Linked DNA regions of Xenopus tropicalis. The protein of the gene in region 1 purifies or fractionates together with the protein of each later gene. This does not show direct contact. Links are inferred from orthologs where the notes say so. Each region holds a gene or a part of one and is shown in the gene's direction. Other genes may lie near its edges.

What was found.
Region 2: the proteins of pfdn6 (region 1) and pfdn5 purify together in Homo sapiens (affinity purification with mass spectrometry; 5 studies listed by BioGRID and IntAct, with this or other methods). This does not show direct contact. The link is inferred for Xenopus tropicalis from reciprocal best matches to the Homo sapiens genes PFDN6 and PFDN5.
Region 3: the proteins of pfdn6 (region 1) and pfdn4 purify together in Homo sapiens (affinity purification with mass spectrometry; 6 studies listed by BioGRID and IntAct, counting the BioPlex papers as one, with this or other methods). This does not show direct contact. The link is inferred for Xenopus tropicalis from reciprocal best matches to the Homo sapiens genes PFDN6 and PFDN4.
Region 4: the proteins of pfdn6 (region 1) and pfdn1 purify together in Homo sapiens (affinity purification with mass spectrometry; 6 studies listed by BioGRID and IntAct, with this or other methods). This does not show direct contact. The link is inferred for Xenopus tropicalis from reciprocal best matches to the Homo sapiens genes PFDN6 and PFDN1.

What each region holds. Positions count from the first base shown.
Region 1 is NC_030684.2:72,106,887-72,113,408, forward strand, and holds the end of pfdn6 (prefoldin subunit 6), read left to right. Parts: intron 1-379; coding exon 380-443; intron 444-1,698; coding exon 1,699-1,769; intron 1,770-3,756; coding exon 3,757-3,881; intron 3,882-3,956; coding exon 3,957-4,077; 3' UTR 4,078-4,299; downstream 4,300-6,522. Other genes in the region: rgl2 (ral guanine nucleotide dissociation stimulator-like 2), read right to left, coding at 6,317-6,510. UniProt on the Homo sapiens protein: Binds specifically to cytosolic chaperonin (c-CPN) and transfers target proteins to it. Binds to nascent polypeptide chain and promotes folding in an environment in which there are many competing pathways for nonnative proteins.
Region 2 is NC_030678.2:147,136,042-147,144,518, reverse strand, and holds pfdn5 (prefoldin subunit 5), read left to right. Parts: upstream 1-3,916; 5' UTR 3,917-3,937; coding exon 3,938-4,009; intron 4,010-4,251; coding exon 4,252-4,354; intron 4,355-4,439; coding exon 4,440-4,471; intron 4,472-4,993; coding exon 4,994-5,068; intron 5,069-7,433; coding exon 7,434-7,539; intron 7,540-8,159; coding exon 8,160-8,230; 3' UTR 8,231-8,439; downstream 8,440-8,477. Other genes in the region: espl1 (separin), read left to right, coding at 817-1,018. UniProt on the Homo sapiens protein: Binds specifically to cytosolic chaperonin (c-CPN) and transfers target proteins to it. Binds to nascent polypeptide chain and promotes folding in an environment in which there are many competing pathways for nonnative proteins.
Region 3 is NC_030686.2:34,364,352-34,372,789, reverse strand, and holds the start of pfdn4 (prefoldin subunit 4), read left to right. Parts: upstream 1-2,989; 5' UTR 2,990-2,993; coding exon 2,994-3,005; intron 3,006-5,804; coding exon 5,805-5,912; intron 5,913-8,438. UniProt on the Homo sapiens protein: Binds specifically to cytosolic chaperonin (c-CPN) and transfers target proteins to it. Binds to nascent polypeptide chain and promotes folding in an environment in which there are many competing pathways for nonnative proteins.
Region 4 is NC_030679.2:31,786,406-31,794,645, forward strand, and holds the start of pfdn1 (prefoldin subunit 1), read left to right. Parts: upstream 1-3,093; 5' UTR 3,094-3,190; coding exon 3,191-3,223; intron 3,224-4,452; coding exon 4,453-4,619; intron 4,620-8,240. UniProt on the Homo sapiens protein: Binds specifically to cytosolic chaperonin (c-CPN) and transfers target proteins to it. Binds to nascent polypeptide chain and promotes folding in an environment in which there are many competing pathways for nonnative proteins.

The sequences.
Region 1 (6,522 bases):
CATCAGAAACACTACTATATACTACTATAACTGATACATTCTGTAGAATACAATAGGAATCTTCACAGCCTGTTTTCTGCTGAGTAACCTGTGACTCTTCTCCTTTTTTCAGTTTGAATGGCTGCCCCCATGGCTACACAGCAGCTTATTTATATAAACAATAGTAGTGTTTCTGAAGCAAAACTTTTACCAGTGCAGGGAATATTACATAATATAATATTCACTTGCTTTGGTGTTACTGTACCTTTAACAACACAACTGATATTTAACATGACTGAATTGGTAAATGTTTTCCCTGGACTGGTCATAATTTTTTCATATTTAACAGTTTCTATATATTTGTGTGTGCTGACAGTCTAAGTATGTTATTTATAAACAGATGGCGGAACAGTTACAAGAGAAGTTACAATCCGAGATCAACAAATACCAACAGCTCCAGAAAGGTACGTATTATACTTCTATATCATCTCTCTCGTCTCTTGTTGGCTCTGTGCCTTTGTGCAGCAGATAATAATCATTCGTTTCTTAATTGATAAATGCATCACAATGATAGTTCTAATAGTGATGTTACTGATGTGCATGTGGAACAGAAGTAATTTGGTTGCTCTTTTGCTGAAGTATAAGAATTTTTTGGAGGGGAAAGAATATCTTTGAGATATGCGGTTTCTGTCTTAAGCAGGTGTTGAGCTGGCTCCCCTGCACAGGCCCAGAGTCTGGGGGATGGATGGCTTGGAGGTCAGTTAAAGGAGACATATTGGATAAATGGAAAAAACACTAATTTTGTAGGCAATTATGAATACTATATGGTGCTGGTTTCCCTTTGGGCTAAATTTGAATACTGTCTGCAAAAATGGCCCCTTTATTGGAGCTTCCTATCCTCTCTGTCAATGTTGACGGGTGGGCGTGTCCTAAAAGTCCCTACCAGAAGCACAGTAGGAGGGGGATAGCCAATCACAGCCCTGCAGTCATGCAAGCAAAGTCAGGCTTCAGTTCAATATCAGGTCAGCCTAGCTGGCAGGAGTGCCACTGGCTCCAGAGAATTCAGCCAGCAGGAAGTGGAACAGATGGGCGGGGTTAGTGGGGTTTGGGGGAATTTTCTCAATAAATCAGTCTGAAACACATCTTTTTTTAAGCACAATCCTTCTATTTCTAGAGGAGTATAATTCACTGGTACATTCTTAATTTTTATATGATATGTCTCGTTTAAGGTGAGATTTGGGGAGAATGTCAATTTGATATCATTGATACTGCTGGAAGCTCAGTCAGGAAAGTCAGTGTTACTTGAAATAAAACTTGCAAGATGTTTTTGGGCCCATGATTGAATGAAAGATACAGCAATATATTCATATATCTATAAGCTTGCTGTTAGCTAAGGAGGAACATTTGGAAAGTTCCAAAAGGTACACATATATAATAGGACCAGTAACAGCAAAAATCACTGTTTTAAATATAATTGAAATATAATGTACCCTGCACTGGTAGTGTTCAGAAATGATAATACAGTTTATATAAAAAATCTGCTGTCTTCCTACAGGGGCAATTTTTTTTTTATGTATGCTGGATGAACAGATATAAACTTTAAATGTTAAAAAAAATTATAAACTTTCACTTTTTGATGTTACTTGTCCTTGAATTTTTTTTTATAGCTTTTTGTGTTTTATTGGCTGGTATTATTCTGTCATGCTTCTCTTTCTTTAGAGATCAGCAATACTATGTCAGCCAGGCAGAAGCTTGAGGCTCAGTTGACTGAGAACAACATTGTCAAACAGGTGAGTTTGAGGTAGGGGGGAACATAGTTAGCAAATGAATGCCAATATGTATATGCAAGCACTTGTACAAGAGCAATATAAACTCGCCACATACCTCAGAGTTACATGACCCTTACAAAAGGACTCTGCATGCGTTCTTTTAATTATAAAGTAGGGATGCACCAAATACAGCATTTGGTTTAGGGTTTGGCCAAGATTCAGATCAGGCTAAACCGACGTGAACTGGCACATGCCTGGGTGAACTGAATGCAAATTCTTAAAATTGCGTGACTTTTTGTCATCCCACTGAGACAATACCAGTCTTTCCTAATTTAGCAAAGAAACACTTCTTGAGGGACCATAATCCAATTTGTGCAGACATCTGTAATGTACTTAAGTCAATCAGGTAACTTACAAGGGTAGGTGTGATACAGGTAATAAGCTTCAACTGATAATTTTCCTACAAGGGGAGCAAATGAGCAGGGACAAATGTATTAAATGTGTAAAAATGTGTTAATCCTAATGTTTACCTGGTCTGAATTCTACACATGAAAAATAGAAACAAAAATAATTTGTGTATATATTTAGTATAATTATTTTATTATTAATGCTAACTGCTTATTTATATTATTTGACTGCACCCATCACATACAGCATATTTATAGTTTAGAGAGAATACAGCCACATCAAGCAAAGTTATTGTTGGTGGAATCAGTTTTTGCTATTTGATATCTTACGCCTCCCCAAAAGCCATGTCAGACAAATTCTCAAACTGAATTGTTGTTGTATCACACTACACATGTTTACAATTGCACTGTATTAAAGAGTTGGTGAAGGTAGGGCTGGGCGATATACCGCTTAATACCGAATACCGGTGGTTTTTTTTAAAACTATATTCATTTTTCAGATACCGCAATACCGGGGTGTCAGGGTACTCACCCGTGCGGCCCGGTCTCGCGTGCGTCCTGTTGTCCGCGGGACGTTGCGCACGCGCATCCAGGTGCGCGTGCGTCAAAGCGCACGTACATGTCAAAGCGTGCACGTCCGTGATGCGCTGACGGCGCCGGTTCTGTGCATGCGTGGGGGGTATTTAAAGCTATCAAACGCCTCCTCCTGTGCTATGTTGTCTGCGGCCTTGCCTGGGAAACTAAGCCTGCCTGATTTACCTTACGACTTTCTGTTGCCGATCCTTCGCTTGACTGATTTTCAATACTGCAGTAATTATTTTCTAATTTATTAGGAAATGGGGTTAACACCTAATCATGCATGGAAAAAAAAAATACCGTCAAATACCGTGACACCGATATAATTTTGAAAAATACTGTAATATAAATTTTTGGTCATACCGCCCAGCTCTAGGTGAAGGTTAAGTAAAAAAGACCTCAGCTCTAACATCTCAGATCTAAGTTCCTCTACTTTATACTAGGGATGAAGCAAATCCACTATTTTGGTATCCGGCCAAACCCCAAATCCATTGAAAAGATTTGGGCAAATACCAAACTGAATCCTAATTTACATATGCAAATTAGGCCACGGAGGGGGTTAAAGAGGACTGTATGCTTTGCACATGGTCAAAAATTTTATAAATATATAAAAATAGTTTTTTTTAATCCAACCTTATGATTTTGTTATCTCAATTATGACAAATTGCGTCCTTTGTCTGCTGGAATAGTGGCACTGTGGGAAATAATAGGGTTTGTATTCAAAGGTAAAACTGCAATCTTAAGACAATAACCCATTTTATATAAGCTGCAGAAAGAGAGGGCAAAGACATTTTCTTCCTAATATTTCCATTAGGCAAATACATAATCATTTCTAAAATGGTCCTGGAAACTTTTTTTTTTTTTAAATGTATTTTCAAAATAAACAGGAACAGAAAAGAAGATTTCAGACATTAACAGTAATCATATTTGGCAATATATAGAATGTCGGGTAAATATAAAAAATAACAATATAGTGTGATTCTTAAGAATGAAATGTGTATGTGTGTTTCTATATATCTCTGTAGGAGCTGGCTTTTCTGGATGACAGTAACACTGTATATAAGCTGATTGGTCCAGTGCTGGTAAAACAGGACCTGGAAGAGGCAAAGTCTACTGTGGATAAAAGACTTCAGTACATTAATGGAGAAATGTGAGTAGTGTTTTTCTTTAGTCTGTATTGAGATTAATAACTGGTTTGTATAATGTTTGAATGTTTGTTTCTCAGCAAAAGATATGAGACCACACTTAAGGATATGGAGCAGCGTTCAGAGCAACATAGGGCATCCCTTACTAAGCTTCAACAAGATTACCAGAGGACACAAGGAAAGGGGCCAGTGAAGGCCTGAGGGGCATTCAGAATAATCTATAACCCTAGACCTGGTTTTCATTGGTCATTAATGCTCCAGGACTGTGTAACCAAAACTTTGCCCACCATTTATTTTCCTGGAATACTTTTGGCACCTCCTGCCTCTTGTGCACACTGATGCCACTTCTTGGACAGTAAGAGCTTCATTGTGGAAATACTATGTCTTGAATTGTGTTGGGTAATAAAAATGCTTTGACTCCGAGAGGACTTAATCTTATCTTTCCTGGGAGAATAGCAGAACATTGCACGTAAGAAATACACAAACCATACATATAGTTTCTGAACAAATGGAACAACTCCTGACCTATGAACAATAAGTACCAATAGAAATGTAAGAAGTGAAATTAGATACCAAGGGGCCTCCACCCAAAATAGGTTTTGTTTGTTTGTATAAGAGATTAATAATTCTAAGCAACATTCCATTATGCACTAAACAATTGAGTGGTTCAATGGTTATTTGTAAATTACATTGCTTTTAAAAGTAGTGTTTTTCTGCAGGTCTGTTAATCTTTTGGCTTTTGTTATTGAACACCATTGAATAACTGTATAAAAAAAGTTGCTTAGAGTTACATCTTCTTTTATTATGCCAAAAAGTGTTGAACCTCTTTAAGGAAGACTAATATTTTCAGCCCAATTACTACATATTAGAGAAATTACATGACTAAAATACATTTGTGTCTCCAGATCTATTAATGGACCCATGTGCTTGGTTCGTGGCACTGGATCAGAAGTGTGTAGCGCTGGCTCCTTCTGAAAGCTCAGACTCACAATGCACTAAGATTAGGTAGAGTTAACAGTGTAAAAAGTATACCATGAAATCATGACAAAATCCCTTTGTGAGCTCAGCAGCACCCACGCTGCAAGGGGGGTGGACGCCGATAATGGGTCTCTCAGCAGCTCCAGAGTATGTAGCTTAAAGAAATACAAAAACGTTAAAAATCTAGTCTTTAGGAGCTTGTTTTCCAGTGGCCATGTGATTGTACATGTGATACCTGTAAGATACACACAGTTACATTTGGAACATTAACCCCTTCAATACTATATGAAAATGTCATGAAAGTCAAATTTGGTCTGTGGAATTTAAAGGAGACATATCCTATAAAAATGATGAATGTAGCAGTCAATTATACTTCTAGATATAGAATTCTCTGGATGTGCAGGGCTCTCAGTACACTGCACTGTAGGACAGGAACCAATCAGCAGCTAGGCTGACCTGATAGGGAACTGAAGCCTGTCTTTGCTTGTGTGAGTGCAAGGCTGTGATTGGCTATCCCCTTCCTACTGTGCTTCTGGCAGGGACTGTTAGAACACTCCCACCCTTCATTTCAAAAATGGACGGAGGACTGATAGGATCTATAGGGAGCTCCAATAAAAGGGCCATTTTTACAGATAGGACTAATTTTTAGCACAAAGTGAAACCGGCACCATATATTATTCATAATTGCCTACAAAATTAGAGGTTTTCCATTTATCCAATATGTTTCCTTTAAAATCAATGTTGCTGAAATGCTGCATCAAGAAATATTGTAGTGCCACTTCTTTAGTTGACTTCTTTAGCCCAACTTTGGATGTGTTCGTAGCCATGAGGGCTTCCCCAGCTATTCCTGTAATCCAGCATTTCTTGACAGCTTATTTATGGCTTATATGTGCTAACATTAATCAGTGCATTTACTGTGCTGAATGCTTCATTCTAATATATAGAATCAGGGCTGAACATTTTTATTAAAATAACAAACACGCCGTATGAAAAAGGTAGTTTATATGCAGAATTTCTAAGTACAGTTACAATAAACATAAATATATCAACATCACAGATGTTTTATACAGGTGTATGTACAATAAAATGCACTCTTCCATCATCATACAAATATAATAGTGTTCTACCAATAGTGTATATGGAACGCAGCAGCACAATGACAATATACAGTCTGATGTCACTTCCGGCACATGTGTAACACGGGTTTATTGCATCATTCCCTTTTGACAGGCACTAGAGGTTCCCATTAGTATGACTTGGCACATGAGATCATTTAGCATTGTATGCCATAGTGTACTGGAGCATCTTGTTGGGCGATAAAAGTGTGATGTCTGCTTGTGACATGTCATTGGTAAAGTCAGTAACACAGGATCCTGTTGTGTTTAGATTTCAATATAAGATTTTTTCCTGTATATTTTTAATTCCTCTTTACTTTGGGAGCAGATGAATCTCATGGTGAGCTTTAGAAAAGTGCTCTTGCAAGGTCTCCTGCCTTTGCTTTGACCTTAGGGATTGTGGCACTGATGAGCATTTTAGCGGGTGCCTGGGTGTCTGTAGAAGATGCTGAACTTACAGTCTTACGGGGACGGAGAAGAAAATCCAAGCTTGCAGAGCTCATGGCATAGAAAACATTTGCTTTCTCTGGAATAACCAATTCTGATGAGACAA
Region 2 (8,477 bases), on another chromosome or scaffold:
CCTTCCTGTTGTTTCCGCATGCTGATCACCTTCCACCTGCCAGCCTTCCTCAAGTCCTACATGGCCCACCCTAAGCCCTGATTGTTGTCCTTGCTGCCTTTGACAGCCAATGACTTAAAGGAACAGTAACACCAAAAAATGAAAGTGTATAAAAGTAACTAAAATATAATGTGCTGCTGCCCTGCACTGGTAAAAGCTGTGTGTTTACTTCAGAAAGTCTTCTATAATTTATATAAATAAGCTGCTGTGTAGCCATGGGGGCAGCCATTCAAAGGAGAAAAGGCACAGGCACTTAGCAGATAACAGATAAAACACTATTGTATTCTACAGAACTTATCGGTTATCTGCTATGTAACCTGTGCCTTTTTTCCAGCTTGAATGGCTGCCCCCATGGCTACACAGCAGCTTATTATATAAATTATAGTAGTGTTACTGTAGCAAACACACCAATTTTACCAGTGCAGGGCAACAGTGCATTATATTTGTATTACTTTAAAGCTCTTTTATTTTTTGGTGTTACTGTTCCTTTAATTAAAAAACCCATACAGTAATAGGGGATCATCTTGTTAATAAAATATGCAGAGTGTTTATTGGTGACTTCTAATATCCTCATTTTTTAATAGAGGGCGCATTTATTATAATACACAAGTTCCAGTGAGTCATGTTACAAATTACATTGCTAAGCACTGTTTATAAGGATATATTTTGCAGGATATTCATGGCTCTTGTGTGATATATATCTGTGTCTATCGTGTGTTTTATTTCACAGCCTATATGTTCTGTCAGTCTGTGGTTTTAATTACTTGATTTCTTCAGCCCTTTAGTTCTTGGCAACCTATGGGACGTCACTGACCGTGAGATTGACCGCTATACCGTAGCATTTTTACAAAGTTGGCTCAAGGCAGGATCTGGAGCTCCTCTCTTGAAATACCTGTCAGAATCCCGCCAAGCTCCCAAGCTGAAATACATCATTGGTGCAGCTCCTGTAGCTTATGGCTTACCAGTGGCCCTGCGATAGCATCATTGTCATGTGGGACTATATTTTTACATATTATATTTATACCTTTTACAGAATGAAAGCCATGTAGTTTTTTTAATAAGATGAGTGTCCATAGTTTGGCTTTTCTGCCAGCTGAGGGCAGAGTTATGATATTTATTCCTTGGCTTACTTATAAACATACTAGTTCTTGCCAGATCTTGCCCTCTTTGATTTACCGACTAGCAGCAGTGGTTTTAGCCAATTTGCTATTCAAATATGTATAAATATGTCAATGTTTATAAGTAGGGTTGCCCATATCTTTTGGCACAGAGTCATTTCTAATAAAGGGTGTATATACAGCTGTTCTCAGGTTAAATGATTTTATTCCTACAGAGTTGTACTCTCTTTTAAGAGTGAATATTTAACATATATTTATTGCATAAGGGAAACTATTGAGTAATATAAATGTGTAATAAAGTTTGGAGTGTTTTTATGTTGGTGGGTTTTTTTTTTTTTTGTTTTTGCATCTGGCTTTTTCTGTCTCCAATTTCTCACGCCCCAACCCGGGGAACCGGCAAGAGGGCGGTCCTCTTCCTTTGTCTGTCTTCCCGCCACTTACACATGCGCAGTATGAAAAGCCAAAAAAAGCTTTTCCACTGTTTATTCGCAGCTACCCCAGACTGTTGCAGTTTTCACCAACCCAGGGTATTACAATTACTATGGGGTGCCTAAAATTTTGGCACCCCTCTGTGATTTTACCTTTCCTTCTCTTTAACAGCAGGTCAGTGGCTCATAAAGGCAACATCACCAGTTGCCATATTTGCCCTGTTAGTTTTATGGTAAGCCATTTCTGCACAGTGAAGGAGTCGTGCCTATGACACCTCATCCAAATATTTTGTCTAGTACCTTAATCTCTGAGCCATTAAACAATTGATTGTGCAAAATTCTCAATAAACACCTTTTACCCTTGAAAGGGATGCTTCACCTTTAAGTTAACTTTTAGTATGTTATAGAATGTACTATTCCGAGTACCTTTGCAGTTGGTCTGCATGTAGATTTCTGGAGTGGTGCTTCAAAAAACTGCTGGGAGTCTTCATAAAACTATACATATTAATGGGCACTTTGATACTTAAGAACTGTAAAATGCAAATCTATTGGCCGTACATGTAAAGAACTTTTACTGATATCCCCCAACTTAAGGTAGGCGATATAGAGCTGATCCTTGGGCCAAATCATCTAATCACAATGCAGTACAAACAGGGCGTTGGGGCAAGGACTGCATTAACGAGTTGGTGTTCCCTGCCCTGATGGGATTATTAAACCTGCCCAATCGAGAGCTGGCTGATTTTCGTCCAGATGTCGTTTGGAGGGTCCCATACACAGGCCAATAAGCTGCAGATATATCGCAGATGTATGACCACCATAAGGGATGATATGGAGCCATGTGGCTGAGGGGGAATTCTGTTTGTAGATGTAGCTGCAGCAAAGTACTTTATTTCCCATTGAGAGGGGTGTGAGTCTAGCAGGTGAAATGCTATCATGGTGCCTGTGGGGAGACCAAAGAATATCTCTGGCAGAAGTACTGGTGAAGAGAGCAGTATTATTAATAACATTTATTTATTAAGTGCCAACATATTCTACATATTCTACAATCAGTATTTTGAAGCATGTCAACTCTGAAAAGGAGATGCAAAAAGAAATGCAATGCTGCCCCCATGTGGAAGGCAGTTTAGAACATGTCCTATGAACTTTCACTGCAATAGATGCCTTTTAAGAAGAGGATTTAACACAAATTAATATGCTATGCAACATTCCAGTAACCCACAGATACTTCTAGGGTCATACCGAAGCCCATCAATAAAGCTAAGAAAGGTAACCTTAGACTGGCAGAAATACTTGTATTAAAAGCAGTCAAATCAATCCCGTAATGTTGGACAGCAACACAACCCCCATCAAAGCAATTACGAGAACATAAGCTTCTACATACTGTGCAACTTCAGTGGGTCTTAGCTCTTCAAGATTAATAATCAAGAGGATCACTGTTCTATAGCGTTTGGAACAAATACCTAGACACATTTGTCAATGGGAAAACAACACAAACAATTAGCCCCATTCGGGTTTACTAAATGTTGGGTGGAAAACTCTCTTTTGGAATAACTAAATCCACCAACTAACCAAACAAATTCTGCTCCCTCCTCCTCACTTGCCTAAAGACCAAAAAGGCATTACTTTGTATTTATTTTTATGTATTTTTTAAGAAATGCAACACTGTCTGGGACTGATGACACTACAACAGCAAGTCAAGTTAAAGTATTTTTTTTGTGACTACATTTTGCATTGTCCTGATGACTTGCTTTTGCCTGTAGAACTTTAATGTGTACTATTTTCATGTATGAGCATTCATATTATGGCTAATCTTTCTTTGTACACAAGAATGTGTGATACATGACTGCAAAATGTAAATTTTTAGTGAATTTCAAAATTTCTTAAAAAACAGTGCTTAACCTACTGCATAGATTCTTAAAATATTATATTGTTATGGGGGGGTCTCTCTTCTTCCGTTTCCTACTGTTTGTTTCCTACTCTATATGTTCCTCTATTCTTTCTTCTCTATTGATTGTTGAAATACCATGTTACTGGTAGAAATGAGGTAGTTTAATGTAACAATAGCATTTTGTGTACTTTTGCACTTATTCCTCTCTTTGCAAAATAAGAAAAAGAAAATCTAAAAAAAATATATATATATTTCTGCGATTTGACTTATTTATAAATATCATGTTAGCAAGCGGACCATCTGCCAAGTACACGGTCCCTTACATGTTAGTACGCATGCGTCGCAGCCTCCGGACTATCATAGAGCGCTAGCCGTGCGTACAGAGCGCCAAACAATATACGGTTTCCCAGCTAGACAGTCACTATAGTAATGTAGTAGGAAGGCGGGGTTCTTCCTCTCTCAAGATGGCGCAGACAGTGAACATTACCGACTTGTCTCTGCCGCAGTTGGAGGGATTGAAAAGTCAGTTGGACCAGGTATCTTAGTTAATCTTACATTGCCGTCTTAAATTGGGGATGCCTCTGTGTTGGTTTTTCCCCACGACTAAACGTAGTGTCCCACAACTGGCTTGGATGAGTTCTGGCCACCCCGTGGCTGTGGATCCCTTACTCCCAGAGTCCCACTGCAGCTTTTGCTGTCCCGCCCCAGCCTGGTGTTGCTCATACTCCGGGGTTACAGGGTTAGTAAGGCCTTCCTTATGTGCCTTTTCCTTTCATAGGAAGTGGAGTTCCTGTCCTCCTCCATCGCTCAGCTAAAGGTGGTTCAGACCAAGTATGTGGAGGCAAAGGAGTGCCTGAGTGTGCTGAACAAAAGCAATGAAGGTGAGTGACAGCGGCAGCCAGTTAGTAGGGTGTGTCAGTCGGCTTAGTTCCTCTCTCTAATAACCTGTATGTGTTTATCTGACAGGGAAGCAACTGCTTGTTCCCCTGACCAGCTCTGTATCCTTTTCATCACTATATTATGAAAAAGCCATATGGTGGCAAAACCAGTGAGCTGCTTCCAGTTTTAAAGTATGTTCTCTTCTATTTGTTTATTATATTATTAATGTAAGGAACGTTGTAAGTCTGTAGCAAGCTAAGTGTCAAAAATCTACTAAACAGTAATGCATTTTTATCCAAAGTTTAAACACTAAATGGCTAAACTGCTTAGGTGACTGCTTAAAAGAGTGTGATGATGGTTGTTATAGTGTAGGAAAAACATGTCAAGAATAGCAGCACGGTGTGTTTTTCCTGGGTACTTGGACAAAAATGTACTGTATACAGTCAGTCAGGCTATACAAAATATAGACCAATTGAAAAGTTGCTAATATTATAGGCCATTGTACAATGTACCAAAAGTTATCTTAAAGGTGAACTCCCCTTTTAATGAGCAAAAAAAAATAGAAAACCAGTATTTGCACAACAGTGTTTAAAGAAGAACAGTAGGTGTGTGGGTTTTTTCCCCCTTAACCTTTCATGTAGATGTATGTGCCTGGGACTCTTAATGATGTGTCAAATATACTGATCGATGTGGGTACTGGATATTATGTGGAAAAGGTGAGCTACTTTTTTGTTTGTTTTTTAGCTTAAGGTGTGACTGTGATGAGCAACCTACTGTTAACATTTTCTTGCGCAAAAGTTTGTTAGTATATTTCTAACTATACATAACACATTATTGCTACTCTTCAAACCATCTGGTGTGACAAACAGATTTAATTTTTATTGGTTGAATTAAAAGCAACTGGTTTATTTTTATTTTTTAAAATTTAGCGTGTTCTGGAACATGCACAGGTTATTCTCGCAGTTAAGATTGGCAGAACTTGTGCAAGTTTTGCCCAAGAGACCATTGGCTAGACCAGTAGGAAAGCGAAAAGCAGCAATAGGGAAATTTGACTACTTGTGTAAAGCTGCTGTACATATGCATAAGCCCTGTATAGGTAAATAATAATCCACACTTGCTTACTTAGTTGCCCTTTAATATCATACCACAATACATTCACAACAATGTAGCCATATCACTTCTAGAGGTAATTTGGTGCTGATATCACTCAGAGAAATTTACCTCTAGAAGTGATGGCACTTATTATAACTGAAAAAATAACTTGAAGCACTTATATTTATTATATATTATATATATTAGTGAACCTGGGCCTATGTGCTTTTACCCCAGAAAAAGTATTTTTTTGTTAAACTGTCTGCTTGCAAAGTGGGAGACTTAGGCAGCTGCAGTTCTCTGCAAGGAATTTGTTAGGCCTACAGCAGAGGATGTTAAGCTAAGCAATTTAACAGCAGTGTGCTTTGTAACCACTATATATATATATATATATATATTATATAATATATACATATTTTGGTTTCAGAGTACCAAGATAAGATGTTATTTTATTTTTAAAGGTGGCCATACATGTAGCAATTCCGATCTTTCCTGCGACCATGAGTTGCAGGAAAGATCGTTCGTTTCCCCCACTGACATTCAGAGTCATCGGATGTGAAGGTAGAAACAATAGGAATTCTACCTCCACCTGCCGGTTCAGCCCTGAACGCAGGTTTTGTTCGGGCGCCTTCAATGGCGCCCAGTCAAAATCTTTTAACCCGGCTGAGCGATGAGACAACCGATATCCGCAGCCTTTGCAATAACGGTCATCTTGTCGATCTGCCATACACGCACCAAATATCATACAAAACGAGGTTTTGTACAGTATCATCAGTGCGTGTATGGCCATCTTTACTCAGTCAAAATATAATGAATGCAGTGCACTTTAAGCTGACAGGATCTGTAGGTATCTGTTTCTGATAAATGTATCACTGGGCACTTGTAGTGTAAGTTTTTAATATAAGGAGATTCATGAATTCGGAAAGATATATGGTATGATTAAAGCTTAGTTAATTTTGAAGGCATATTGTGATTATTTGCCTTTACAGGGCACATATACCCACTGGTATAACTTAGGGCTGAACTTCACATGAGATTTTGTAGAATGGTGTTGGTTTGACAGATCGCATCCTGTCGAATGTAGTTGCATGGTTAAAAAATAATGGGACTGATAGAAAAATCTGATGTGTAAACTATATGAAAGCTTTGCCATCAGATGCAATGTGCCTTTTGGTAGTCGACTTTGCCTGCTGTGTCTTCATACAACCAGACAAAATCTCATAGTGTCTGAAAGAGATTTTTTCTCATTAAAATACATGTCTGATATAGACACGGAAACAGGATCATACAAAACATTGTGCTTGTTGCGTGACAAGATTTTGTGGGTCACACAAAATCTGACCCAAAAATTCTCATCAAAATCTCCTGTGTAGTTTAGCCCTTAAAAGGGCACTTCATCCAAAAATATTTTTTTACACAGTAAAGGAAATTATTATTCTAAGCAACTTTACAATATACATTCTTGAAGAATTTATTGGTTTTAAGTGTTTGTAGTCATAATTGCAGTTGAAAGCAGCATTTGCCTGGCTGTTTACTTTTTCTGCACTCCTGGCTCTGACTCCTGACACAATATTGCAAACCAGCTGATTGAAAGACCTGGGGTAGATATGGTTCATGTTACATCATTTTAAGAACTAGACACAAAGAACAGAAAGGGATCATTTCAGCAAATAATATTTACTAATAACCCTATAAATAATGAAATTGTTGATGAATGTAAATTGGAATGCTGATTAATATATTCTAAGTAGAAGTCTTAGAGCCAATTGTAACAGATTATATTCCCCTATAGTAAGCGAAAATTTCCTGCCATGATGCATAGGAAGGATTAACACTGATCTGTAATGATTTTCGGCATTTTGTTGTTTAGACCTTTCCAGAGAGAATGTGAGGATGCAGAAGCTGACAAATTGCTTTACTATAAGAACTGTAAAATAATTTACCTTGAGTTCAGTCTTTGTATTCCATCTATATATGTGTCTCTGTTAGACTGTAGAGGATGCCAAGGACTTTTTCAAGCGGAAGGTTGAATTCCTAACTAAGCAGATTGAGAAGATTCAGCCAGCCTTGCAAGAAAAGCATGCCATGAAGCAAGGTGAGAAACGAAATTCATAAATACAAATATCTATATAAAACTAGTAATCAAAAAAAAAATGTGGACCCTCTCCATCACACATGCCACCTTAAAACATCTGGTGGTGTTACAGCCTGATGAGCGCAAGTGTTTACTAAGCCCTCTCCTTGCAGCTACTGGCTCCCCTAACCCCCTTAATATTTGGCTGCTGCTTTCTGTGAGGATGAATTTGCTAATGAGACTTTTACCAAATGAATTAAATTTCAATTTATAGCACCATCTTACTTGCATCTAAAGCAGTGCCCCCCCCCAACTGTGCTGTTTAATCTGAGCTGCCAGCAGCTAGAGCCCGCAGCACAGTGGCTACTGTGACCGAGCTAAATTGGCAGCTGCTATCTTAAACAGAGGGAGCTTTTAGGGCTGTTTACTTAGGTATGGTAAGGCTTTCTACAGATTAAATGTAGTGTTCTAGCTTGCAGTATTGTGACTAATCTATTGGGAATAAAATGTCTTTCCTTCTCCTTTAAATACAAATATAGCCATTTTCTGTGAATTGAACCTTGTTAATATATTCTGTGTTTGGTTGAAAGCATTTAAACAGCAATCATAAATGATAAAATATTTTAATTTTATCTTTACAGCTGTCATAGAAATGATGAGTATAAAAATCCAACAGCTATCAGTGGCTAAAGCTGGAACATCCAAGGCTTAAGGCAAGGCCAGGAGGACTCCCTTTCCAGCAAGAACTCTCTGAAATACTTGTATACGTGGCTCAGTTTGTTAACGCAGTAAGGCCCCGGACTACTTAACAGACTGTGCTGCAGTTCTCTGCAGCTTCCACAACAAAAGGGGTTAACTTATTACTTTTCTTGTGTTTTCTCAATTTTATTTTGTATTTCAAACATAAACATTCTCATGAAATATGTGTTGAGTTTTTCTTTTTTTTTCTTTTTTCTATA
Region 3 (8,438 bases), on another chromosome or scaffold:
AGGTTTAGGAACTTCAAGCAACAATTACATAGAAAACCAGCCCTAACAGTGAAAAAAGATCAACATGACCTAAAGGGAACTTTTTATGTACATTCATAATTTGAAAAGTCATTTTTTCGTGTCAGTATCACTTTAAGGGCCATATTTTTTCATTGGCGCAACACTCTACTTTCTGGAAGGGCCAACTACCAAGGGTGCCCAGTAACTGGGAAGGTGGAGACAGAGGGGTAAGATAAAGACAGTAAGACAAGGTGGAGACAGCAGAACAAGGTGAAGACAAAGGCAATATGGAGAGTAAGAAGGAGACAATAGAGTAAAATGAAGACAGTAGAGTGAGGTGGAGACAGTAGAGTAAGATGGAGACAGTAGAGTAAGATGGAGACAGTAGAGTAAGATGGAGACAGTAGAGTAAGATGGAGACAGTAGAGTGAGGTGGAGACAGTAGGGAAAGCTGGTGAGAGTAGGGAAATACTGTCTGTAGACAATAGGGTGGATGGTATTGCTTGCCTTTGAATATTTATGGTTTAATTTAATGATAGACTCATGGAATAAAAGGTGATTTCCAGCCTATGATTTCCCTGTAATTGCCCAGGGTTGGGAGGCACACTGACATATACACACGCAGTGACACACAGACACACACATAGATACACACAGACACACACATAGATACACACAGACACATATAGATCAGTTTTTTCTTGATTAAGAGGTTTCTGGAAACATAATACATTGTATTTTGTAGACAAGGAGACCGAACACACTGGCAATACCCCACCTGCCTTGGCCTGGAAAGTACAGGGCATTTCTACTACGGCAATTAATAATCATACGGAAATGATTGTCTAAAATGATAAGGACTCTGGAAATCCCTATCTTGCAGTTTGGGGCAGATGTTACAGGTTCTGAAGACAAATGTAGTTCATGGGTGCTCCCACCCCAGCGAGCAGGGCTTCCTGCAAAAATCATGGGGTCCCATATGTACCCCCTGCCATGTTCGTTATGTCCAAATGATCCCAAGCTCTAATCATTTCCATACAAGTTGCTGCAGTCTAGCTGACTGCCCAGATGCACCCAGGGGACTCCGACCACCCCACATAGCACCTTAACACCCATGAGTGGTGTTGGGCACCATGAAGCAGGCACAACTGTGTCTAGACTCCCTGCCATTAAGCAAGACTGTGCTGCAGTATTTTTGCATCAGGGAGGAAGAAGAGTACTAGTAAATACACCCCCCCCCCCATGTAACCAGAAAGGATAAGAAGATAAGAAAAATAAACTTATAAATGTCAATTACCCTTTACCTCTATTACTTATAAAACACTTTACTTTTCCTTTAGTCTAATGGAAACAAAAAAAACAACAACAAGTGTGTGGTAATTTCATTCCCCTCAAATTCCCTCAGTGTCTGGGGGTCTCATAGACTGACCTTTCTGGAACATTTCTCATACAGGCGATTAAGCACCACAAATGGATTTCTCGTAAAGTCTGGATTTCTTCATCCCTGGCAACAGAAAAAAATGACTGCTGTACAATGTTACATGTCTGATGTTCCAATACTGTGCATGATGAGCACAGAGGGGCAGGAAAGTTTAATATCAGGGAAAGTGATTCCAGAATGAAGTCAATAATATTGTTTTACTCTAAGCTATATTGTTATAATCAAGCAGAAAATATGATCAAGTATATGATCTAGGAATAATGTACCCCCCTAGTGTAAATGATAAGGATATTAGAAGTCACTGAGGGGTTCTGTGACCATATAAAGGTACAACACTGCAGGCTGAGTTATACAGGGAACTCTGAGTATCACTCATGTATTATAAGGGATAATGTACCCCCTACTGTAAATGATAAGGATATTAGAAGTCACTGAGGGGTTCTGTGCCCATATAAAGGCACAAGGCTGCAGGCTGAGTTATACAGGGAACTCTGAGTATCACTCATGTATTATAAGGGATAATGTACCCCCTACTGTAAATGATAAGGATATTAGCAGTCACTGAGGGGTTCTGTGACCATATAAAGGCACAAGGCTGCAGACTCAGGGTTTTTATGTGTTTTTATTAAAAACTTCACAAAAGAGAATTAACAGAACTCAGACCAACATGCCGGCCAATAATTACAAGTTACAACCAAAATTCACCCCCCCCCCCAGTCCACTGGCCAAATGTCCCGATGAAGATCGTGACATATGGAGGGGGCAATTGTCCTTATAGTACAGACATTAAACTTGATAAGATAAACCATATACAATGATGCTACACAATATTTTGCACGTTGGTTTTTGTAGTACAGGTATGGGATCCCTTATCCGGAAACCCGTTATCCAGAAAGCTCCGAATTACGGAAAGACCGTCGCCTATAGACTCCATTTCAATCAAATAATTCAGAATTTTAAAACTGATTTCCTTTTTCTCTGTAGTAATAAAACAGTACTTTGTAACTGATCCCAGCTAAGATATAAATAATCATTATTGGATGAAAAACAATCCCATAGGGTTTAATTAATGTTTTATTGATTCTTTAGTAGACTTAAGGCATGGAGATCCAAATTACAGAAAGACCCCTTATCCGGAATACCCTTGGTCCCGAGCATTCTGGATAACGGGTCCTATACCTGTACTATAACACCCGGAGAACAGTTCAATAACTGATACTAAGCACTTCGCCCAGTTTATCACGCCAGTCACTCAGGATCCCATCCTCTTGCACCATCTAGTGGCCATTTAGCGCGTCGCACACTTCCTGCTCTCGCTGTCAAGTTGGATTCTGCGTAAGTTGGACTGTACCATTGCGTAAAATGCAGATGACCGTATTACAATCGTTATGTGTTGTGATATTGCAAGCGCCACGAATTTAAGGCTTGATTGTGCGATCGTTCTCTGACCCGGTACTTCTTTTTCACTGGTTAGCTTTATTAAGTAAGAGCAGGTTGCGTTACGCTCCTCCCCCCGCCCGGTAGTTGGTTCTATCCCAAGATGGCGGCCACCATGAAGAAAGCGGTAATGCTGCATGTTGCGGCGGGCGTGGGGGAATTTGGGGGTGTTACAGGGAATATCGGTAACTGGGTGCGATACAAAGGTGGTGCTGGATGGGGGGAAATCGCCATGGGAGAATAGGGGGCATTAGGCAAATGATTGGGGTGTAATAGGATACATTCTGTAAAGAAATAATTAAGGGATGTGCTGCAGACTGTGCTGCTTTCTGTGTTGCCATGCCAAATGAGCTATTCACAGGGGGATTATTAGGGGTGAGGGGCCAGCCTTACACTGGGCATGTGTCAAACGGCCAACTCTCTTAGTCTGCAGTACAGATATAGCTCTGCCTGATTAGGCCACCCCTATAGGCTTCTTTAATGGTTTGATCCTTGGGCCAGTAATTATTATAAGGGCCTGTGTACTTCTGTTAGGCCATCATGTCTGTCAGGATTCTATTAAACCTTCCCAACAGCAGATCCTCAGTCACATATAGTTTGGGCCTTCATAGTCTGTCCAGTAAGTCACTGATACAACCCTGAGCGCTTGAGCTGTAATTGTAGTGTGTAGGTAGAATTGTACAGGTATAGGACCCATTATCCAGAATGCTCAGGACCAAGGGTATTCCGGATAAGGGGTCGTACATTGGATCTCCATACCTTAAGTCTACTAAAAATCAATTAAACATTAATTAAACCTAATGGGATTGTTTTGCCCCCAATAAGGATGAATTATATCTTAGTTGGGATCAAGTACAGGTACTGTTTTATTATTACAGAGAAAAGGGAATCATTTAACCATGAAATAAACCCAATAGGGCTGTTCTGCCCCCAATAAGGGGTAATTATATCTTAGTTGGGATCAAGTACAGGTACTGTTTTATTATTACAGAGAAAAGGGAATCATTTAACCATTAAATAAACCCAATAGGACTGTTCTGCCCCCAATAAGGGGTAATTATATCTTAGTTGGGATCAAGTACAGGTACTGTTTTATTATTACAGAGAAAAGGGAATCATTTAACCATTAAATAAACCCAATAGGGCTGTTCTGCCCCCAATAAGGGGTAATTATATCTTAGTTGGGATTAATTACAAGGTACTGTTTTATTATTACAGAGAAAAAGGAAATCAGTTTTAAAATTCTGAATTATTTGATGAAAATGGAGTCTATGGGAGACGGGCTTTCCGTAATCCGGGGCTTTCTGGATAATGGGTTTCCGGATAAGGGATCATCTCATACCTTTATTTCTATTTATTATTTTTATTTCCAGTTTAACTGCAGATATTTACTAGAGTTGCTGGTCAGTGCTTGGAGTTGTAGGACTAATCAGCTCTGTGAATAATAGGAGTAATGGTTTCAGGCCTAAGAGAATAGAAATGTGAGTATCATTTGCCAGGGGGAATGATTTAATTGCCTTGTTTTATTCATGTGGACCCTCTGTGTCCTGCCCCCTGGGGTTCTCTGCTGTGGGCATAAACAGGGCATGGGGGCTTTCATGCTGGCAGGTGTATTCATTATTAATAACAGGTATGATCATAGCTTATGTGACCCACCCACCACTAATACAGATTATATAGAAATGCTGGCTGAAATAGGAGTTAGAGAGCTTCCAGTCTAAAAGGGGAAGGGGGTGTGAGACAAATGATGTGGGAATGGCTCACATTGTTGGGGCTGGGATTATACAGCGAGTTACGGTTACAAGTATCCACAGTTATATAAAAATTGACAGGCCTACCTCCTTTGCTGCCCTGCTGATTGTGTTTTAATTCGTTTCTGCCACTGGTCAGAAAGACCCTGGTTATTAGATCTCAAGCACTGACCTGAGCTGGAAACCAATACCCAACTGGAAGGAACCCAAACTGGCAGCACTCAAAATCAGCATCATAAGTGGAATATTAATGAGACCAGGAACACGGCAATGCCATGCTTATTGCCAGCTCCCCTTACTGTCTCACTATACCTGCCCATTGGGTGTGTCTGTTCCTGTGCTTGGAAATTAAATTAACTCTACAGGGGTGCTGGCTGCGATGTGAATGATTGTATATTCCCCAAAGTTACCCCACTTTAGTAATCCTGTGGCTATGACTCAAAGGCCAGCAGTGCATTATGATTTGGTTCACATTATTATATATATTTAATTCTATAGAAGCTTGCCCTGTATTGAGAGACAGATCAGCATTTGTGAGGCCACAAAGACCTAGGCCCAGGGCGGCACAAAATAAAACAAAACAGTGGGTGGGTGCGCACACGTGCTTATGGGGGACAAGGCCTATCAAGTTGCCGGGGGGTGGTGTGGCCTCGGGTTGCCCAGTTTAGAATCTGGCCCTGGTGAGGCAGCAGTTCATATAGTTGCTCTAGTGACTGAGGTTTTGCCAGCATTGAGATCCTATCCTTAATTTCCATTGTGGGGAAAAAATAAAGGAAAAAAGTCAATTGATTGAGACAGTGACAAGCAGCAAAATAACCTGTAGCAATTTGCCTTTTTAATGATGTCCTGAGAGGTCAGCTGGTTACAGTAACATCAGTAATTTGCTCCCGCTAAATGAATATGATTAATATAATTTTCGTTAATGAGGAAAACTCCTTAATGAGGCAGAATCCTTTGCTCTCGTCACTTAAGTCATCGCTAATGCTAATTTTATAAATAAATGGAATAGTCTCTATGGCAGTTATCAATACACAGACTGTCAGTAGATCCTCACACTGATACATACAGAGAAAAAAAGGCCTTTGTGCGTAGGCACCAGAACCATAGGTTTCCTACAGTCCTGAGTAGCGCCTCCCCTGTCTGGAGGGTAATGACTTGTCCTGTTTGCGTTCCAGGTTGCGGAAGATGTAAACGTTACATTCGAGGACCAACAAAAAATCAACATCTTCGCAAGAAATACAAACCGGGTCACAGAGCTGAAAGATGAAATCGAAGTAAAAAAGGTAATACAACAGCGAGATCTTTGCTTTTATTAAAGGGGAAGTGTTACTTGGCTTAAGCAACACCATGTCTGGTTAATTCAGATGTTTCTCTAGTTCCAATATACCTATGCAACATGCAGTACCACTTTCCTCCTGTTGGTGGCAGCAGCAGAGAAGCACAGGGAAGCAAATTAAATATAGAATATATACAACCAGCAATAACACCGAAATGAAAACACTGAGAAACGTTCAACTCCCAGCAATATTTTTATATATCCTTTTCATTCCAGCTTCAAATGCGTACGCGGATAAAAGCGCAGTCCCACTTATCCATCTGCTCCGCACTTAAATTACAGCAGTCCCCTTTGTAAAGGCGTTGAAGGACCAATTAGCCTGAAATGGGTTCCTTCCATAAATGAGGAATCGTGGCAGTAATGATTGTTAATGCGGTTCTATCACAGGGAGGCGCCGGGTGATGCAGATGTGTGCATAAAATGACAATTACTGCGCTTTTCTTCTCATTGTTATTTTCGAGATTTTGTTTTCCCATTTGAAGCACCTTTCCATTGCCAGAGGTCAGCAGAAAACGCACAAATGGCTGCTTTTATAGCCTCTTTGATGCAAAGTTTCCATATAAGCTCAGAGAAAAGGGGAAAGTTTCCACTGGTGTCGTATTCTTCATCAGCCAATCAGCAGTTAACTATAATTAGTCCTTGTCTGTTAGAATGAAGGAAGGGATACTGTCATCATGTTCGATTGTTTCAAGAATTGAAATGTGACACACCCTCACCGGAACCAGTAGTTGTATTCTCTACATGGCACCCATCAGCACTGTTCTTTTGGTTTGTGGCAAGACCTGGGGGTAGCCAATACCTTCCTTACATTTATATAGGTTAGACACAGTATATTCCATGGACTGCTATGCTATTTCTCCTGGTACCTGCTTGCAAGGAAATTATAACATAACAGGAGGGCTATGGCCCAACTTTCAGGGAACTTTAGAAGGAAGTAACATAATTTGTTGGGGTATTTACACATACATAGTTACATAGGGTTGTAAAAAGACCAGAGTCCATCAAGTTCAACCCATCCAAGTAAACCCAACACCCACAACCTATACTTACCAATCTATACACTCACATACATAAACTATGTATACAACCACTAATACTAACTGTAGATATTAGTATCACAATAGCCTTGGATATTCTGATTGTTCAAGAAGTCATCCAGGCCCCTCTTATAGGCACTAACAGAATCTGCCATTACAGCATCACTAGGAAGGGCATTCCCCAACCTCACTGCCCTCCCCGTGAGGAACCCCCTACGCTGCTTCAAATGGAAGCTCTGTTCCTCTAATCTAAAGGGGTGGCCTCTGGTGCGTTGATTTGTTTTTATGGGAAAAAAGAACCCCCCCTATCTGCCTGTAATCCCCTCTAATGTACTTGTACAGAGTAATCATGTCCCCTCGCAAGCGCCTCTTTTCCAGAGAAAACAACCCCAACCTCCATACATACAAGGAATTCTTAATCCTCTGTATAATACAGCCCTGGTACTCTTGTAATTTGAAGTAAAATAGGAGCAGCAGTCGTCAGGTGTGCAGAACCTTAGCAGTGAAGGGGTTAAGGCAAAATAAAATTCACGGAACCAAATGGGAGGGAAGACAACTGGTCTATGTTCCAGCTAATAAGTAAACAACATCTGTGCCTCACTTTATTTAAAGCCTGGTTATTTTTTTTTATAATTTGTGATTGTAATTAAAAATATATATATGTGTTAGATGAGGTTTTAGCCAATGGCTGCTCCTGTACAATTTTGGGGTTGGAAGCAGTGCATGCCCCTCTTATGTACTACAGGTATGGGACCTGTTATCCAGAACGCTTGGGACTTGGGGTTTTCCGAATAAGGGATCTTTCCATAATTTAGATCTCCATAACTTAAGTTTGCTAAAAACCATTTAAATATTGAATTAACCCAATAACCCAGTAGGATTGTTTTGCCTCTAATAAAGGGTAATTATATCTTAGTTGGGATCAAGTACAAGGTAATGTTTTATTATTACAGAGAAAAGGGAATCATTTAACCATTAAATAAACCCAAAAGGGCTGTTCTGCCCCCAATAAGGGGTAATTATATCTTAGTTGGGATCAAGTACAGGTACTGTTTTATTATTACAGAGAAAAGGGAATCATTTAACCATTAAATAAACCCAATAGGGCTGTTCTGCCCCAATAAGGGGTAATTATATCTTAGTTGGGATCAAGTACAGGTACTGTTTTATTATTACAGAGAAAAGGGAATCATTTAACCATTAAATAAACCCAATAGGGCTGTTCTGCCCCAATAAGGGGTAATTATATCTTAGTTGGGATCAAGTACAGGTACTGTTTTATTATTACAGAGAAAAGGGAATCATTTAACCATTAAATAAACCCAATAGGGTTGTTCTGCCCCCAATAAGGGGTAATTATATCTTAGTTGGGATCAAGTACAAGGTTCTGTTTTATTATTACAGAGAAAAAGTAAACCATCTTTCCACATAGAACC
Region 4 (8,240 bases), on another chromosome or scaffold:
GCAGGCGGCGCATACGCACAGGGCAGGAGCGTCCGGTTGCCATGGCAATGCAGCTTCGCCGAACAGGTGGGGGAAGCGGGGGGGCAGGTGCTGCGAGCGGTGGAGAGTTTGTGGCAGGAGCAGGGGGGGTTTTTGAAGCTTGGGGGGGTTTGAGGCAAGAGCGGGGAGCTGCAGAATCTTTGTGACAGGAGCGGGGAGCTGGCTTGTGCTTTTCAGCCCATACAGACACGCTGGACAAGATGGCTGCGCCGTTCACTGAAACAAGTATGTAAGTTCTAGTATGTGTATCTCTGTAAATCTTTCATTAGGCAAGCCAGGAATATAGTGTTTTTACACAGCAATAGTAGTACTATTTAATAGTGTGCTTAATAGATTTTGACTTTCCTTCTCCTTTAAAGGCGGGGCAGGCAATAACTTTCACTTTCCATTCTGCACTTCCTTGATGTCACCACACTTCTTACATTCCCCCTCCCTCCTCACTGTCGATAATTGTGTATCATGGGCATTAGGTGCCCCATTCTGGCAAACAGGATTTTGTGATGATGCAAAGCTTGTAACAGTGTTCACATAATGGCACCTGCCTGCTTGTTGTGATTAACTGCAACAAGCAGAATATGCAATGATAACATGGGTGTATGCATTCTATAAAGAGGCACAGCTATGGGATCTCTTATCTAGGAACCCAGTATCCATAAAGGCATCTCCCATAGTCTATTTTAAGGAAATAATGCTAACTTTCATTATTTCCTCCTCCCCTGTAACAATAAAGCAGTACCTTGTACTTGATAGAAACTAGGGCCGCCATCAAAAACTTTGGGGCCTAGATATTTATATGGGTCCCCTCGTGAACAATAGGGCACAGTACAACATTTTTGGAGTTGGCAGCTTACTTCCTGTGTATGGGCCCTCCCAAATGGCCTATCTGGTACATGGCCAAGTATTAGCCAGATAGTTATAGGGTAGGTTAAAGGAACAGTAACACCAAAAAATGAAAGAGCTTTAAAGTAATAAAAATATAATGCACTGTTGCCCTGCACTGGTAAAACTGGTGTGTTTGCTACAGTAACACTACTATAGTTTATATATTAAGCTGCTGTGTAGCCCCGGGGGCAGCCATTCAAGCTGGAAAAAAGGAGAAAAGGCACAGGTTACATAGCAGATAACAGACAAGTTCTGTAGAATACAATAGTGTTTTATCTGTTATCTGCTATGTGCCTGTGCCTTTTCTCCTTCAAATGGCTGCCTCCATGGCTACATAGCAGCTTATTTATATAAATTATAGTAGACTTTCTGAAGTAAACACACAACTTTTACCAGTGCAGGGTAGCAGCACATTATATTTTAGTTACTTTTATACACTTTCATTTTTTGGTGTTACTGTTCCTTTAAAGACAATGTTCCCTCCAAGCTATGCTCTTGTGCACATGCACACAAATTTTGAGGCCAGCGCACACAATTGTGGTACACACAAGGAATTTTGTGTAAAAACACATAATATTGTACTGAGCACACAAGTCTTTTAAAGGAGAACTAAACCCTAAAAATGAATATGGCTAGAAATGCCATATATTGTATAATAAAATGACTGCACTGGCTTAAAGTTTCAGCATTGCTATAGTAGTAATGACAAAAGTCTTTACAGTTGTCACAGGAGCTCCCCATCTTGGATTCTGTTAGAACTGTCCGGGACGGCGCACATGCTCAGTTGGCTCTGAGCAGCTAAGCTTAGGGATTGTTGCAAAATATCAAGCAGAAAATGAGTGTTGTCTTTCATATAAACTGATGCTACAGGGCTAATTATTCAATTTTGATGCAATTGCCCTGGTTTCAGATCTGTCATGTAATGTAAATGAATTACTAATCAGCCTTTCACTGTTACATTTATATTCTGTATATACAGTATATTGTGAGTGGGTCCCTAAGCTCAAGTAAGTGACTGCAACACAGAGCATGTGCAGGGAATCAGCAGAAAAGAAGATGGGGGGGGGGCTACTGGAGGGCATCTTTGGGGGCACAGATCTTCCCTGCAAAAGGGCTGTTTGTGCCTTGGGCTGGTACAGAAACCCATAACATAATTCACAAAATTTCAGCCCTACTTCTTTGTTAAAAAGTGTGCACAAAAGAAATTATTTGTGTACCCTGCCAAGAAGAAATTGGTTTAAGGGCACTGCTGTATGGGGCAGATTCTGCAGTTAACTTGCAGGCCGAGAATCTGCTGTGTGGCAGTGCCCTAAAAATCCCACTGGCATGTTGATGAGGCCTACATGGGTGCCAATTATGTTTATGGCCCTAGGGAAAAAGTGGCTGTTTAGTTCAAAACTAGACAGGTGTCAACCCCCAAGTGCACTGACAAGTGATTCCTGTGTTAGTCCATTCAGTGGTCATCTTTAGTGTTTTACCAGCTGCTAGGGCTGTCCAGTGCAGCCGTAAGCACCAGACTTCTGACCTCGCCCCCCTCGTATACAGCTACACTTTTTTTCTTTTTAATATAGGCACCCCTAGCGCTGCCCTACATAAATATGGCCCATGCACCCATGAGCTAAATCATGCACAGGGGATCTTGTCTGAGCAAGATCACCTTCAGGCTGGGCTTTTAGAACTATCTCCCAAAATAAGAAATATTTCTTTAACGTTGCCCCATTTTCAGCCATGATTTCAATTTATGGCGTTTGTAACTGCTTACAAAATACAGTCTAATTCAAGATTCCAGAAACATATGGGATAAACAGTCTAGAAACTCATAACAATCCTATTGGGTGCGAATCGAATTACAACCCTTCCCCATATATTTCTACATATAACTCCCCAGCCACTGTGTCACTGCCGGTTTAACACGTTGTGTGTAAATCACGCACACATATTTGTTTATATGTTACATCACACGTTACACCCTTGGTTCACTCTACACAAAACATAACTTCTGTGGCAAAACAAACTACTAGCAACCATGGCTCAAATATCTTTAAACAGTAAGAGCTCTCGCTGCTAAGCCACAACTCAACCAATCCTCCAGCAACTATACGCTGGGCGTTTCCCAAGAACGCCCACCAATGCGCCCAGCTTCACCTTAGCAGCTGCCAATTGGAATTGCCAGTAAAGCACCAAGAGCCAATCACAAGGCTGCTTGCGATGACGGCGGTATAGCGTATGGTTTCCTCGCCGCCGCGTTGCGCATGTGCCCGGCTTTAATATGGCTACCCCTGTGGATCTAGAGCTGAAGAAGGTAATAATAATTGTATTTCATTTATACTAATGATTTTTATCATGTACGTGTTTTCATGTAAGTGTATGTTTATATAAGAATTCAGATGCTGGTGAATTCACGGTGCCTGCAGGATGAATGTGCTTTTGGCTGGAGTGCGGCCAGGCAGCTAGTGCATACGCTCGGTGGAATGCGAATGTAGTCGTTTTTGTATTTCTAGTAGGGAACTGTATTTGTAGTAAAGAATTTTGATATCATTTGATTTGTGTGTGTGTATATATATATATATATATATATATATATATATATATATATATATATATATATATATATATATACATATATATACATATACATATACATATACATACACACACATACATACATACATACATACTCACACTCTATAAACCCATAGTTCTATAAACGAACACTTGTTTTTTTCCAAATACATAAAGAAGGGAAATTTAATAAAGTATATTTACTATTAATGTAAGATTCATCCTTTTGGAAGGCACTATCTCCCAGTGCATTGTTTATTTGCAATTAAAACAGTCTTTAGAACGCAAAAACATTGCTGTTAAATCTTTGCTTACACCTAAAATTTGGGGGCTTAAGTGTTTAGTAAGATTGGAGATAAATATCACTGGTGATGTTGCCCATAGCAACCAATCAGATATTTGATTTTCATTTCTAACTTGTAGGTGACTGTTCAAATCTAATTCCTGATTGGTTGCTATGGGCAACATAGCCAGTGATATTTATCTCCAATCTTACTAAACATGCCCCTGTGTCCTACATCTGTGGTTTGCTTGACAGACTTTTTCAGTTCAAGCCCACCTTGGAGCCCAGTTAGTTCATAACAAGGTGTATGGAAATGTTGTATCAGCTATTCAGGAAGGGCTCCCGGAATACCCATTTTCACACCAAATTTCTCTCTAACTGAGCTTCTCGCTGGGTTTTTAGAAAAATAGGCCCTCAAGTGGGCCATACAGGGGCCCATTCAGACCAAGTTGACAACATATCAGCCTGTTTATGAGTAATGTGAGACTGCTTGACTGACATTTGCAAAGGATGCACTTTTACAAGCAGAGTAGTTTAAAAACTGGATAGTTTCTAAAATATTAAAAATATTACCTGCTTACACAATCTTGGGTGAAACTCAGATGTAGAGATTGGCAGTGGCTAGAAAGCATTAGCGAGGACAGCACTTAGATACAAATTGTTTAAAACCATGTTTTGTATTGCAGGCTTTCACAGAGCTTCAAGCCAAAGTTATTGATACCCAGCAGAAAGTTAAACTTGCAGATCTACAAATTGAGCAGCTAAATAGAACAAAGAAGCATGCATATCTTACCAATGCAGAAATTATGAACCTGTCTGATTCAACGCCTATGTATGAAGGAGTAGGAAGAATGTAAGTAATGCTGTTTTGCTTTAATCATACAGTCATGCATTAACTTGTCTTTTTAAGTGTAAATTGTAAAGAAAAGTAGACCTTCGGCCCACTCTCCCCTTCTCTGTTCACTCAATTTCTTTAATCTCTTAATTACGCAGTTTTACATAATATTATCTATCCTTTCCTCCATTTCTTCAGTTTCTTTTCATATAGGATTGAGTAATGGCCATGGTATACGCATACAAGGCAAATGGTTGGGTGAGCAGGAGGGCCCACTGACACTTGGGCCACCGGGAGTTTTCCTTGTATCCTGGTGGGCCAGTCAGACACTGCACAGACCTACCGATCCCTTCGAGGGCCAAAAGACAGAAAAAATACAAGGGACCATATACTCTATGGATGCCTTTCTGTTGTTCCTTGTATTCATAGGGAATGAAGGGAACAGTTCCTCATCTTCCATACACAGGCTGTAATGGGTTCTTAGCAGGTTACATATTTATACCCACCCAAATGACAAACCAATCAAAGTACATGGATATAGGCTGCCACGCACATACTGAAAATCGTTAACTGTGTTCCTATGTAATCCCCATTTGACTGTGCCAATGACTGTATTTATAGACTGGCTATTGTTAAAAACCAAGAACTTTTTGGTTTTCTTACATAACCATTGCTGTGGAGAATAGAAAGTACTTATTCATAGGCGAATGATTCAATATTAACACATTTCTAAAGGTGGAAAGCATTAAAGGCCAAAAAAAATGCATTAGTATTTCAGATGCTTTAAATGTTCCGTATGCCTTTAGAACAGAAAGTCTACATTTAGGAGGGCGTTATAGTCACTAGTATAAGTGGAACTTTATAGTTTAGGTAATCCATTGATCTCAGGGAACATGCTTATCTGCAGCTGGGAAGTCCATATATATTAAAATTTAGTTGAATGCGCTTGAATGCACTTGTGCAATAGCCCTCTACAGAGGGTTCTGAACAGCAACTTCATTGGAATAGGCCATACATAGGCAGATTTAAGTCAAGCACCAGCCTAGGGCACAGAACTCTTTTGTTTGTCTGTTTCCCCTTACTTCGGGCCCCAGTTGACTGGGAGAACTGCCAGAAGTCAGAGAGAGCAGCCGCTATTTTGCACTCGCTCGGGGGGGGAGTGGGTGCAGTATAGCCGTCGCTTACTCTTCCAGTCAGTGTGCGCTCGTTACAGGAGGGGTGGGCACGGAGCAGTGCGAGCTGGGGGGGGGGGGGGGCAAAGTTCTAAATTCGCCTGTCATTGATTTAAGCTCCTCAGTCAGTCCCTTCAGACCGATTTGGCAGCTTATCTGCTTGTATATGGTGCCCTCATATGGGCCAACCTGACCGATATGTGGCAGAAAATCGGGAAGTTTTTGATCGGGCTAGGTTTGAGTTTCCCATCGAATTGAGGAATGCGTTGGCTTGTTAATGTTTCTTGTCGCAACGGCCTGTCCCCGTCATTTTGATGCACTCATTTAGCTCTAGGGGCCTAGGGCCAAACAATTGGATCAGGCCAATATTGCCCACCTTAGGTAAGCATATCAGAGAAAGATCTTCTTATTTGGCAACCTCACCAAATGAGTGAATATTATGATGTATGGCCACATTAAGTTGACATGCATATATAGACTTCTTCACTTAAGAGAAGGAGCAGGAGAAAGTAACAACAAAGTCTCGTGGTTCCGTCAGCGGCCTACACAGATCCCAGCTAGACACCTGAGCAGTAAGGGTTGTGGGACTAAAAAGTCATACAAGGTGCATTTTCAGGAGACCCCCCTATTTACCCACATATCTAATTAAATATATAAGTTGCTTTCTCCCAGCTTCTGATGTGATGCATGACGCACACCCAGTTACCCCCAAAATCTAGGTGAGTGCTGGGGTGCTGTTCGATATGACTCCTTGACACCAACCCCCCATTTCCTCAGCAGCACAAGAGTTTTTCCTGTCTATACTGGCTGCTATGGAGCTCCACTGCTTGTTGAAGAGGCCATTTGGAACAACTTGCTCAAACTTGACTGCCTTGTGGGTTAACGGAACAGTTCAGTGTAAAATTGGGTAAAATGGATAGACTGCATAAAATAAAAAATAGTTGGGCAAAAATTTAATCTATAAAGGCTGTAGTGAGCAGATGTCTAACATAATAGCCAGAACTCTTCTTCCTGCTCTTAGCTTTAGGGGGGCCACATGGGGCATAAATGTTTGTGATCACACAGGTCAGATTCAAACTAACTGAACTGTTACGTCCCATATGCCCCCCCCTCAAGTCATTGATTGGTTACTGACTGCTAACAGCTTAGAAAGTTGTAAGGGAGGAAGTAGTGCTATGGTCATTAAATTAGACATCTGCCCACTCCAGCCCTTATAGATTACATTTTTGCCTAACTAATTATATTGAAAACATTTTGTTATCTTGCACAGTCTATCTATTTTGCCCATTTTGATTTTACCCTGAACTGCCCCTTAGGGGCTGTCTGGGTGTATGGGAGAGGAGAAATGGTGGCAAGGGTGAGAACATAGGAGATGGAAAAAGGCAAAGGGAACTGTTGATAGGGCAGAAGGAGAGAATGGCATGTGGCAATGCTTGGGACATTGTGTTTCCTGATAAGGAGTCTTTACCTACTGTCCCCCTTAAGGGCTATGGTACACAGGGCGATATGACATCCCACCGGCGAAAAGGTAAATCGCTGGTGGGATGGCATACGCGGCGACGTGATTTGCAGAAACTGTTGAAGTACAGTATGCCATCCCACCGGCGATTTACCGTATATACTCGAGTATAAGCCGAGATTTTCAGCCCTAAAAAAGAGCATACGGTAGATGCTTATGTAACGCTGCCCTAGTGCCGCACTCGCCAAACCACCTCCCGTGGCTGGACGAGCGTGCACGATCACCCCTACCCCGCCCAACGCCCCCTGCCCGACGCGTGTACATGTGCGCGCATTGGCGCTGCCACTGCTTACCATGCTCGGACGTGTCTGCTGTCCATGCTCAACCACATACCCCCGCCCCCTAGTGGCCGGACGAGTGTACATGCGCGCTGACTCTTCTGACTCTGCGCGCGTATTGAGCATCTACCAGAGTAGGCCAGTCAAGAACGTTTTAAAAAGTAAGTATGCAGGTTGTACCTTTGTATTTATAATACGCAGGTCAATGGAAATAGCTTCTTGTATCTTACGCTGAGCATCCAGCGGGTAAAAATCGGTACTTCTGATGTTTTTGCCTCTCTATTGTGCAATCTCTATTTCTGTGCGTTTCACAACCTGATAGTTGTTACCTGTGTTAAAGCACGCTTACCAGCCCTTGATCTTGCCTGTCTTTGCATAGGGCTGCCTTTTACTGGCACTGCTCTCAGTCTAGTAAATAGTCTGTTTATAAGCGTTTCAGGAAATAATTATTCAGTGTTGTAAGGTAAATAAAAGAAATGCTGAAAACTAAGCATCAACAGAACAGTCAGATTGTATATTCCCAGTGCATTTTTTAAGAGCTTGAAGGGTTTTTTTTGTTAGTAGTTCTTTATTAGTTAATTACTACTAGTGGTGGCACAGTCTTGATTTTGGTGAACTAGGAGCTTCATGTGCACAACACAAACCTTACATTAAAAGGGTTTCTGTGCCC